Linked DNA regions of Tamandua tetradactyla. The protein of the gene in region 1 purifies or fractionates together with the protein of each later gene. This does not show direct contact. Links are inferred from orthologs where the notes say so. Each region holds a gene or a part of one and is shown in the gene's direction. Other genes may lie near its edges. The genes, in order: SNRNP70, TFIP11 and MRPS26.

Evidence for each region.
Region 2: the proteins of SNRNP70 (region 1) and TFIP11 fractionate together in Homo sapiens (co-fractionation; 3 studies listed by BioGRID, with this or other methods). This does not show direct contact. The link is inferred for Tamandua tetradactyla from reciprocal best matches to the Homo sapiens genes SNRNP70 and TFIP11.
Region 3: the proteins of SNRNP70 (region 1) and MRPS26 purify together in Homo sapiens (affinity purification with mass spectrometry; 3 studies listed by BioGRID and IntAct, counting the BioPlex papers as one, with this or other methods). This does not show direct contact. The link is inferred for Tamandua tetradactyla from reciprocal best matches to the Homo sapiens genes SNRNP70 and MRPS26.

The regions. Positions count from the first base shown.
Region 1 is NC_135342.1:12,037,559-12,041,158, reverse strand, and holds the start of SNRNP70 (U1 small nuclear ribonucleoprotein 70 kDa), read left to right. Parts: upstream 1-1,303; 5' UTR 1,304-1,519; intron 1,520-1,802; exon of another isoform or gene 1,803-1,913; intron 1,914-2,330; 5' UTR 2,331-2,340; coding exon 2,341-2,487; intron 2,488-3,600. UniProt on the Homo sapiens protein: Component of the spliceosomal U1 snRNP, which is essential for recognition of the pre-mRNA 5' splice-site and the subsequent assembly of the spliceosome. SNRNP70 binds to the loop I region of U1-snRNA.
Region 2 is NC_135331.1:36,079,285-36,083,104, reverse strand, and holds the start of TFIP11 (tuftelin-interacting protein 11), read left to right. Parts: upstream 1-944; 5' UTR 945-1,032; intron 1,033-2,537; 5' UTR 2,538-2,546; coding exon 2,547-2,755; intron 2,756-3,820. UniProt on the Homo sapiens protein: Involved in pre-mRNA splicing, specifically in spliceosome disassembly during late-stage splicing events. Intron turnover seems to proceed through reactions in two lariat-intron associated complexes termed Intron Large (IL) and Intron Small (IS).
Region 3 is NC_135327.1:24,890,029-24,893,848, forward strand, and holds MRPS26 (small ribosomal subunit protein mS26), read left to right. Parts: upstream 1-1,584; 5' UTR 1,585-1,620; coding exon 1,621-1,832; intron 1,833-1,935; coding exon 1,936-2,082; intron 2,083-2,171; coding exon 2,172-2,295; intron 2,296-2,983; coding exon 2,984-3,118; 3' UTR 3,119-3,125; exon of another isoform or gene 3,126-3,335; 3' UTR 3,336-3,600; downstream 3,601-3,820. Other genes in the region: progonadoliberin-2, read left to right, coding at 1-70, 153-340.

The DNA.
Region 1 (3,600 bases):
CTAAATATCACACCCATCATCATATCAAGTTCGCTATTTTCTTACATACATTCTGTGACTAAGCATGTAATCAATCTGCACAGCTCCGTCATTAGATAATCTCTAACCCTGTCATCTCAGGCCATTATATTCATTTTTCTAAACCTGCCTATCTTTTGATACTATAAAACTTATCGGAATTACTGCAGTTTGGGGAGACAGATTTTTGGGCCAATAGGCCATCTGATCTCCTGCTTTGCTCATAGCAATAAATTATCTTTTTGAAAACCCGGTGTCTCCGGAGTTGGGCATTAAATACATCAATCACCATTGCTTTTGTCTGGAGAAACCGTTATGCAGAATATAATGTCCTTATTCTTAGGAAATTCATGCTGAAGCATTCAGGGGTGAAATGCTGCTGCAATTTACTTTCAAGTTCAGAAAACAAAACATAGGAAGCGGATACACACAAACAGGTAAAGCAAATATGTCAACTTTTTAAAAAATATTGCTTCAATCTCAAGCATCTCTAAAACCAACTCAGTAACTAAAATTTGGTAATAATTTCTGTAATTATTATATTAAATAGGCAACTGAATACAACCAAATTGCAACAGTTAATTCGTTAAGATATATAAAGCCCTAAATAACATGGCTGCCAGTTCTGTGCCCTCATGGCTCCTCACCTAGGGCCTTGGCACTTGCTGTTCAAAGGTCACCTCTGAATGGCATGCCTCTTTTAAATAGCCCCGCTCTCATTTTGCATCCTCTTCCTCTGCTCTATTTTCCTTCATCGTGCCGGCCACATCTAGAATTATTTTCTTCATTTAAATGTTTTACTGTCTTCCCCTCAAGAGAATGTAAGTTCCATGAGATAAAAGGCTTTGTATTAGCCATATGCTATATGTTCACCAGCGTTCCAAACAGCGTCTATCAGACTGCAAGCGCTCGACAAAGCTGTTGACCGAATAGATTAGACATCCCGCTGACCACTTCTCAAGTAGGAACTCTTTGCCAAGTGGCGGAAGGGTACATGTAATACGTTACTACGCATGCGCACAGACTCCGGGAAGTATTAAAAAGAAGGGGCGGAGTATCAGAAGAGTCTCGCGAACAGAAGCGGTTGGGGCAGAGAGCGCGAGGAGGAGAGAGTGGCTGGTGCGGCTCGCTCGTGCGCAGTACGGAAGCCAGTCAGCCGCGGCAAAGCCGTTCAGGGCACCCGAAGGCGGGGGCAGCAGTCGCGCGCGTGCGTTGTGTCCCGTCCCTGTGTGCGAGGGGCTCGCGACTCGCGCGGCGCGTGCGCAGTGCAGCCAGCGGAGGGATCCGAGGCGGGGCCCCACCCCCTGCCCCCATCGGGAGCCGAGGCCGCGCGGGTTCGTGAGCGGCAGCCTGGTGCGCGCGCGGGGCCGGCGGTAGAGCTAGACAGACGCGGTCGTTGCCGGAGTCGAATCCGAAGAAGAAGCCCCTACTACTGAGGGGCTGCCGCAGCCCCCGCGAGGCCCCGGACCGACGCCAGGCCGAGGAGGGCGCCGCGCGGCGGGTGAGTGACTGGCCTTATCGGGAGCGGGGCTGCTACCCACAAGGCCCTGCGGTGGGCCCTAGCCCCTTTTCCTGCGGCCGGGCCCTCTTCCCGCGCCCTCGGCTCAGCGCTTTGGTGCACCTCTTACCTAAAGTCCTCTGGTCGCTTGGGCCCCCTTCCCACGGCCCCCTTCCCATAGCCCTCCGCGGTCCCCTACCTACAGATCTTTGCGGTGTTGCCTTTTTTCCTTTCTGGCCTTTCCGCAGCGTCCTAGACCCTTACCCATAATTCCTTTCGCCTTTGAAGGCTGAGACCCATTACCCACAAGCCCCTACCTTGATAGGTTTGCTATTTACGGTTCTCTCCCTTTGATCGGAGACTTCTACTTCCAAGATCTGTGCGCGACCCCTGCTCGGTAAATTGTCCCCCACGGTACAGACCACCAGGCACCATTGCTCTGCTCTTTCTTCGTCAGGGTCCTTGATTTCCCTACAAGCCCCTTGCTAGGGAACTTGTCTACTCAGAAACCCTTTTCCAGTCCTTGTTTCCCTTAGTGGCCTCATCCCCAATCCCCTGCCCTCCTCCTCCCAAGAACTTGCTTTCTCATTCGGATTTATTATTTATTTATTTTTTGCATGATCAGGCACCAGAAATCGAACCCGGGTCTCTGGCATGGCAGGCGAGAATTCTGCCACTGAGCCGCCATTGCCTGCCCTCTCATTCGGATTTACTCCTTTTTCCCTGTGACATGAAAACCCAGTGTTCTGTTTTCCTCTTTTTCTTGAGAGTTAAAACCTATCCTAACTTAGGGCCTTCTTGCTTCTACCCTCAGACCTGGCAAGATGACCCAGTTCTTGCCGCCCAACCTTCTGGCCCTGTTTGCTCCACGTGACCCCATCCCGTACCTGCCACCCTTGGAGAAACTGCCACATGAGAAGCACCACAATCAGCCATACTGTGGCATTGCACCCTACATCCGAGAGTTTGAGGTGAGTTCACTGCTGGGATAAGGAGTGGTTTAGGTTTTGGGGAGGTCATTGGGCTGGACTTAGGAATCCAGTCAGGCCATTTTCGAGCTGGTGCCTTATTCTTTCTTCTGTGTCCCTGTCTTAAAATGGGGTTGATAATATGTCCCTTCTAGGGTTAGTGTGAAAGTTCAGCAAGTAGTAGACTTTTACACCCAGGATTTATCAGTAGGTGACCTTGGGCAAGTGGTGTATCCTCCTACTGCCTTGATTTTTTCATTTTTAGCAAGAGGGCAATAGTATTTTCCTCATAAGAGTGACAGAGAATTAAATGGCAAAACTTAGTGTCATAGGGCTTGACACCAAGCAGTCAGCAATGTTAGCATTTGAATTGTAGTTACTGATTTTATCATTAATAGCATGACATTCACAAAGACTTAGACCAGTGCTTAAGGCCACAGGCTTGGGAATTTCAGCTCTGTACCTCCAGGTTAAACCTGAATATGTGACTTAAGCTTCTGGACATCAGTTTTTTCGTTCAAAAGATTGGGATAACAATACTCATCTTTTAAGGTGCATCGAACCACACTTGAGAAATAGTGGTACACAGCCTGAAGTCATAAGAAGAAAGTTCTGGCACTGGGTGGTTGGGCTGGGAATTCTCATCCTTGTGGGAAAGGGCAGCTGGAGGTAGAGAGAGTTTTAGAGCAGCGGTTCATAAGATGATAGGACAGTTGCATCTTTAGTGGAAATTGCCACCTTCAGTGAAATGGTACTTGGGAAATGCTGTTGGTCAATTAAGCAACTTTAATGGATACGGTCAGTGGCTCCCATTGATGATACTGGTTATGTGTCATTTAATGAGTGTTTGGGGAGACTCTGACAGACTCCTCTCAGGTGGTATCCATTTGTTTGCCTCTGGACCCTGCACGGTCTGATCCTTTTGCTTCAAGCCTGGTCCTGCTTCTTGGCGTCCATAAAGAAGGGCCCTCTCATCACTCCACAGAGCAGCCTTTGGCACTCTGCGCACTTCGGAATGATGCTTGGGGGCTGTGAGATGCAGGATGTTCCCCAAAATGGGAGATGACATTCTGTTCTTAAGTTTGATGTCATCTGTGGCAGTGCTTCTTAAATTAT
Region 2 (3,820 bases), on another chromosome or scaffold:
CATCTCCAAATGTCTGGATCTGAGCCCTGAGTGCTAAGCTGAGCTGTTGAGCTGTTCTCTTGCATCTAACTTCTCCTTTTAAGCCTCATTTATTGCGGAAGGCACTCCCTTTAGCCCATCACAGATGTAATCAGCTATTTATAAAGTTCACATGTTGATGACTTAAGTGCCCAGCCACAGAACAAGTGGGCACCGTTATCTGGGTAAGCTGACACCTGAACCTAACTACTACACTGACACTGTTTGATTTCATTGAATCCTCAACCATTTTGCGGAGAAAAATGAAGTTTAGAGAAATGCCCAAACTCTACAGCTGGTAACTCGCAGGCCTGAGATCAGAACTTCAGAGCCTGTGTGCTCCTAATGGCAACAGAGAGTCTCAGAGGAGCCAGGGATTCCAGGCAGGTGCCAGATTCGTTCTTGAGCCTCGCACAAGGTTGGTAGTCAGTACATTTTTAATTAGATGAGTAAATGAATGAATTCATCAACCTGTATGAAATCAAGGATGGAAAAATTTCCAGAAAAAATACTTGGGAACTCCTAAGAGTTTGCCCATTCATTCCCCCAAACCCCTTTTATAAGGCAGCTTCTCTGCGCCCGTGACGATGCTTACACCGAGAGACCCAAATATACAGGAGACGCAAACACGGCTTTCATTATCCCCATATGAATGTCCGTCGCGTCCCCTCCAGATTTACAGTCTGAGGCTGGTCTCTGGCCAAAGTCGTTCTGGGACGTCCCGACGGGTCAACCCAGGCCAGATAACGCATTACAAAACCGGAAAGGCACTCCCTGGCCACTCGGGGCGCTACAACCTCCATGTACCTTCTAGCATCTTAACGCCGCTGTTCGAAAAAGAAAGCCGCTCTAGCGTTGTGTTGTTGCTACCGCACACCGCGCCACTTTGTCGATGTCAAGGGACGTCATTTCCGGTGCGCGGCTCTATTCACGTCCGGGTTCTGGAGAGCGGAAGTGGCGTGTTTAGGGCGCCGAGTGGGAAGCTGCGTGTGGTCCTGGGAACCCATCCGAGAGGTGAGGGCGCTAGGGGTCTCGTAGCAGCGGGAGTGGGGATGCAGTCTCGGAGACGGCTGGCTTCAGCCTCGGCCTCGCCTGTGTCGGATTCCCCTTCGCAAACCGCGCTGCCGGAGCCCGGGGAGGGGCGGGGCCGCTCGGGGTCACCAGGGAGTGGGGGCCAGCACCCAGTCAGGAAGGCGTGTGTCTTTCGTGATGCCTGGACAGCGGGGTTGAGAAAGGCCCGAGCCTTAGGTTTTTCCTACAGGCGAGGAGTTTTTCCTTGGAGCTTCATTTTTCCATCTGAAGCATGGAAACGTTATAGTTCCTGCCCGTAAAAGTGTTTCGATACCTAGATTGGAAAACCGTCTCGCAGCACCCAGCAAGTACTTAGCACCTACAATGGCCCTATAACTCGTAACTACTCTGAGATTGTAACCATGTCATTTGCCCAGGGTGCCAGCGGTATAATTTACTCCGATGTAGCTGGGACTCCCCACCTTTGAAAATATTTGCCGCCTGTACACGCTTTACCCAGAGCGGTGAGCAGACGAAGCAGGAGTTTTCTCACAGCTGAGTAGAATTTGACACTCTAGTGCCTACCTGTACGTGAAGGCTGCGTGCAGTAACTGGTAGACCAGAATCACAATTACTGTCACTTGTTGAGTGTGTGACATTGTAGTGGCACCATCAAATTCACGAATACTCACAAACTGAGTACCTGTGTTGGGATTTGAACCTAGGCCGTGACTCATAATCATTTTGATGGATTGACTCAGTAGCAATGGTGAACCTAATCATGGCACTATAGTAGCAGCTGTTGTTCTTTAGCACTTACTGTGAGTTAAGTGCTTTTAAAGCACCATGTCACTGAATCTGCCTTACAAGCTTTCTCAAAGGTTGATACAGCATTTAGTCCTAATTTAAGAGCTAGCAAAATCTTATCACCTGGCTACCAAGAGGTGAATTCTCTATTCTGGTTCACACAGTTATTGTAGTGTTCATAGTTAACTGTTGTCTTCTACTTCAGGAGAAGAGGCCATGTTTTGAGAGGAAAACTTAGAGTTTCCGCTCTAAGGATCTTTTGAGTGTCTTCAGGAAATTTATTTTAAAAAGCATATTCCAAAAAAACCATTCTGCCTGGGAGTGGGCCAGGCATCCAGATATAACCTTTTTCCTCAAAAATAGAAAACATAATAATAAAATTTGGGGTCCAGGAAGTCATTTACCCAGTTTCTGAGGCAATAATATACAGAATAACACACTTAGTTATTTTTGTATGATTTGTGTATGTCTGTGCATATGATGTTTTATGGCATTGACTAGGACAGAAATACATACTTTTTAAGAATCACATAGATGGATCTGTTTTAAATGTCTGCTTAATTGAATAGTAACAATAATCTTAACAGACTTTGGGTCTGGAAAAAGTTCTGAAGGCACCAAGAAACAGGGACTCACAAGGAAGCTTTCTGCTGCTGCTCCCAGCACTTTTCACAGACTGCACTTTTTGTCCATTCTTGTAGTGGCTGGCCATGTCGCTGTCCCATTTGTACCGGGATGGGGAAGGCCACATAGATGACGACGAGGATGAGCGGGAGAACTTTGAGATCACCGACTGGGATCTCCAGAATGAGTTCAACCCCAACCGACCCCGCCACTGGCAGACTAAGGAAGAGGCCACCTACGGGATTTGGGCAGAACGTGACTCAGATGAGGAGAGGCCCAGCTTTGGAGGCAAACGGTACTGGCTTACATGGGACTGACTTCACCTTGCTTTAGAGAAAGGGGACAGGATGGAGGAAGTAGGGAAGTATACATCTCTCCTGGCCTTACAGATCCATTAGCTATGACATCAGCTATGGAAGTGTAATTTCCTCTTCAGGAAAGGTGCTATTCTTTCACAGATGTGATCATTCAGTCATTGTTTATCCAGAGCAGTTACTGTGTGTCAGGGCTTGGGCTGTAGAAGGAGTTTCTGCCTGGAGCTTGGCGCCTAGTGAACAGAGACAGGCATTGATTAATGCCACACAAAGAAATGGAAGTTTGTACTGTGATTCAGGTTGTCAAGAAAAGCACATTTTGGGGGTGTTTGACCTATTCTGGGGGATCAGGGAAGGTTCCTCTGGAGAAGAGATCCTTGAGTGGATATGAAAATAAAAAGTTAGGGTGGAAGGAGAGGCAAGGGTATATAAAGGCCCCTGATGGAAAGAACAGCTTATCCACAGGAAAAGAAGAAAGGTTGAGGGGCCTGGAGTAGAGGGATGGAGGAAGAACATAGTTTGAGGAGCTCAGGAAGTCAGGTCACCTGGGACCTGGAGGCTGCAGTTGAGGGGATGTGATGTAGGGCTGATTGTGCTTTGAGAAGACCCTTTTGTTAGTGTGCAGGGTGGGCCTGGAGCTGCAGGGGAAGAGGAAGCTCTGTGAGAAGGCTGCGGCTAGGATGGGGACAGCGAGATGGAGGATTCACATGGCAGGTCCTTTCCCCAGTGGAGGCCCAGGTGTGAGCTGGTGCAGTTCACTTGACCAGAATGTGGAGCAGATTTGAGTTTGTCTTGCCCTTGCTCACATCTGTAGCCTGTGGGCTCCATTCCACAGAGGCTATATCTTTTTCACAAAGGGGATTGGGAAAGAGTGTCAGGATCAGTATTAACTGTAGTTCATACTTTGCAAATAGGTGCATTTTCCCCATATACCTCTTTATTATTAACTCCTTGCAATAGTCTCATATATTTGCTCTAGTTCATGAAACAGCTTTTTTATATTTGTACTGTTTATCACATTGTCCACAACATTTTAACCTCCATGT
Region 3 (3,820 bases), on another chromosome or scaffold:
GGCTGGTACCCTGGAGGAAAGCGAAACTCTATCTCACCCATGGGCCTCCAGCATGCCCTTCAGCTCCCAGGTGGGTGCGGGGTGCTCCAGCTCCACCTACCCCGAGCCTGGGATTGGGGATGGGCCGGCTGTAGCCCAGGCTTCCTCCTGAGGAAAGGTCCTGGGCACAGCAGCAGGCAGCCCAGGCCAGACTGCCCATAGCCTCTCCAGTGATGCCCTGGCTCCCGCCGAGAACAGTGTACCTTGGGAGGGCAGGGCCATGGCAAAGTGGTCCCTCCGCGGGAAGCAGAGCCTGATGCAGACACTACTGGTGAGTGAGGTGAGAGGCCCCAGCATTTAAGCCCAGCCACTGGTCATCAGTGGTCACCATGGCTAAGGGTTGGGGGCTATGGGAGGGGAAATGAGCTGTCACTGGGATGCACCCTGCTACAACATCCCACCCCTCCAGCTCTGTTTCTCTGTACCCCTGTTGAATCCAGAGCAGGGTGTCCTCTACTATTCAAATTTCCCAGGAGAATTCTAGGCAATTCACGATAAGATACTTATGATAAAGTAAAAGATGGCAGAAGTGAAGTTCTCTAGGATTCTTGACAGTCAAGGGAAGCCATGTGTCACAAGGCAGCCAAAAGGGACGAGGGGTGCCACCTCTCACACACAGGCAGCAGGACCAAGGACCAGGTCACTGACATGCGGCTCAGTGACTGGAGAGCAGCCGCAGCCACAGCAAGTGCAGGCATATGATTTATTACTATCTTACAAAATGAACATATTTCACAGTTTACCAGAGGTGCATAGTAAATAGACAATGAAAAAATACCTATAAGGCAAAGCCTCATCGCCTAACCCAGTGTGAGCTCGGGTTCTCGCATATTAGAATTGCTTAGGGCTGGCAATGCCATAGCCCCAGGGAGCTGAAGAACCCCACACTGGGTCGGTCAGGGACCACTTGGGGGCGGGATGGGGGGCATACTCTAGGGCAGCCAGATCATATCGTAAGCATCATTAAGGGCAGGGTTCAGGGTGGACCCTCTAGGAGACCGAGACGCGTTCGCAGGACCTAGAAGCAGGCAGACCGGCCGTGGCCGCGTCCTGCTCTCAGAAGTCCGTTCCGGAGGGGAGGGGCGGGGACCTGGCAGACCGAAGCTCGGCGGTACTGTACGGAGAGCGGTTGGTGGGATGACTGCTCCTTTCGCTCCGCAGACCGGACCCGGAGGGCCGCGTCCCATCCCGCCCGCCCTCCAATAAAAGTGTCAGGTACCCGAAGCTGTTGCCTCGAGTTCTCTTCTTCGTTCCCCAACCCCGCCTGGGACTCTTCTACGCGTGGGGGCTGGAAGGATGCGGGCCGGGTCCCGGCAGGAGGGGCGGTGGGGCGGCAGAGTCCCTGCGGCAGAGTCCGGGTGGCGGGGGGCCGGCTACAGAGGTCCTCAAGGTCGCAGCGCCACGCCTGCAGCCCCAGCAGGCTGAACCGGGTGAAGATCGGACTAGGGCACACCCGCGTAGCCCTCAGGTGAGCAGGGAAGGCGGAGCCCCGGGACTACATGTACCATGTTGCCCCGCGACCTCTTCCGGGTCACGGGTGACGCCACGGCTGCGCATCCGGCGTGGGGCGCCGAACGAGCCATGCTGCGCGCGCTGGGTTACCTGGGCACCCGGCAGGGGTGCCGGCCCCGGGCCCTCCTTCTGCTCCCCGCGCGCGGCCGGAAGACCCGCCATGACCCCCCAGCCAAGTCCAAGGTCGGGCGTGTGAAGACCCTGCCTACGGTGGATCCTGCGGAGTTCTTCGTGGTAGCTGAGCGTTACCGGGAATACCGCCAGACGGTGCGCGCCCTTAGGTATGTGAGGGAAGGGAGAGGTGGCCGTCCGCGCCCGCAGGTGGGTATGTGTTGAGGTGGGGGTGGCGAGGAGGGTGCCGACTTGAAGCGCGTCTTTGTCCAGGCTGGAGTTCGTGGCCGAGGTGCGGAAGAAGGTGCACGACGCCCGGGCCGGGATCCTGGCAGAGCGCAAAGCTCTGGAGGATGCTGCTGAGCACCGGGAGCTGATGGCCTGGAACCAGGCGGAGAACCAGCGGCTACACGAGCTGCGGTGAGTGGAGTGGGAGGCGGGCCCGGGCTGCTGGACCGACCTGGAAGAGACCCCAGCCACATTCAGTCCCGGCCTCTTACTCCTCCCAGGATAACGAGGCTTCTGCAGGAGGCGCGGGAGGAGGAGCAGCGGAAAATCGAGAAGAAAGCCTGCCAAGCCCGTGAGGCGCAGGCCTGGCTGCAGCACAAAGAGCAAGAAGTGCTGCAGTTGCAGGTAGGCAGAGGGTCCAGCGGGGGAGGTTGGAACTCAGCTTGCTAAGGAGACAGACCCGTAGGGCGGCAGTAGAAATTCGGGGCCCCCAGAGTGAAGGGGGACATTAACTGTCTAGAGAGCAGCCTTAAGTTTTGAGAGTTGTCTAGTGAGGATTTAGGGAAGGAGTGCAGGGAGAGTACCTGTCAAGAGTAAAGAACTGAAAGTGTTCAGGTGCCTACCAGTTGGTAAGTTGATGTCTTTGGGAGGGACCCCCACGTTCCAAAAGTTCATATTTTGTCTTGCAGGTGTTGAAGTTATTGATGAGTTAAATATTCCTAGGATTGGAAAGTGTGAGACTTAAAAGCAGGGAGGCCAGTTAGGAGTAATCCAGAGAGAATGGGTGAAACTTGAATTAAAGTCATAGAAGTAGAAAGACAAATTTGAGAGATATTACAACATTGAGGAACTGAATCTACCCAGCAGGGCATGAGATTGTCACAGCTGGTACTTGGAGTTGTAGGGAATGTTGTCCAAGAAAGAAGAATGTGGCAAAGCTGCCTGTTGATATGCCACTGGGATCAGTGCAGCCCTCAAGGAGGACCTGGACTCTACATGGTCCTCCTGGACGGAAAACTGGAGCCGCCTCCTCTGTCTAAAGCCTGGCAGGCATTAGGGGCTCCCACTCAGCTGGCCTTCTCTCTCCCAATAGGAGGAGGTGAAAAACTTCATCACCCGAGAGAACCTGGATGCACGGATAGAAGAAGCATTGGACTCGCCAAAGAGCTACAACTGGGCACTTTCCAGAGAGGGATTGGTGGTCAAGCCACAGCACAGGGACTCCTAGGGGCCCAGTAAGGACAGTGCCTTCCTGAGTCCCAGGGACGATGTGTATCTGGGGGTAGGAGGGTTGGACCTGCCCTAGAATAATTCATTGGTGCTTCTTATGAGGAAGACTCAGCCTGTTCCAGCATAGCTCATGCTTATGGCTTCTGCACCCACCAGTTGGTTGGAAATTCCCAAACACAGTGCCCTGATTTGCCCTTCTGTACAATTCTCAGCAGAGCACAGCCCTGGAGTGGTTTACATCTCACAGAGAAGTGGAATGCACAACCATTCCCTAAGGCAGCCAAACTATATCCTAAGTATCATCAACAGCAGGATTCAGTGAACTACAGCTAACTTCTTCATGCGCTGAGCTGGGATCAGCTCTGGACACTGTTGAAGCCCACCCCTTGCTCCTCATAACCCTTCAGATATAGTGAAAATGAAATAAAGCAGGTTTCCGCTCTTGAACTTGGCTTGTAAATAAAATTTTATCGGAACACAGCCACATCCATTCTTTGATTACTTTCACACAATGAAGAGATGTGTAGTTGCAACAGAGATCTTATAAGCATAAAATATTAAATGGCCTTTGATCTTTAGGGCACCAGCTGGGAGCAGGTTTCACCTGGCCCCTGGGCCACAAACTAACCTTTGGCCAAGGGTCTTCCCCTGCTTGATGCTGGGCTTTGGTGACCCAGAACACAAAAGGCAAAGAGGAACT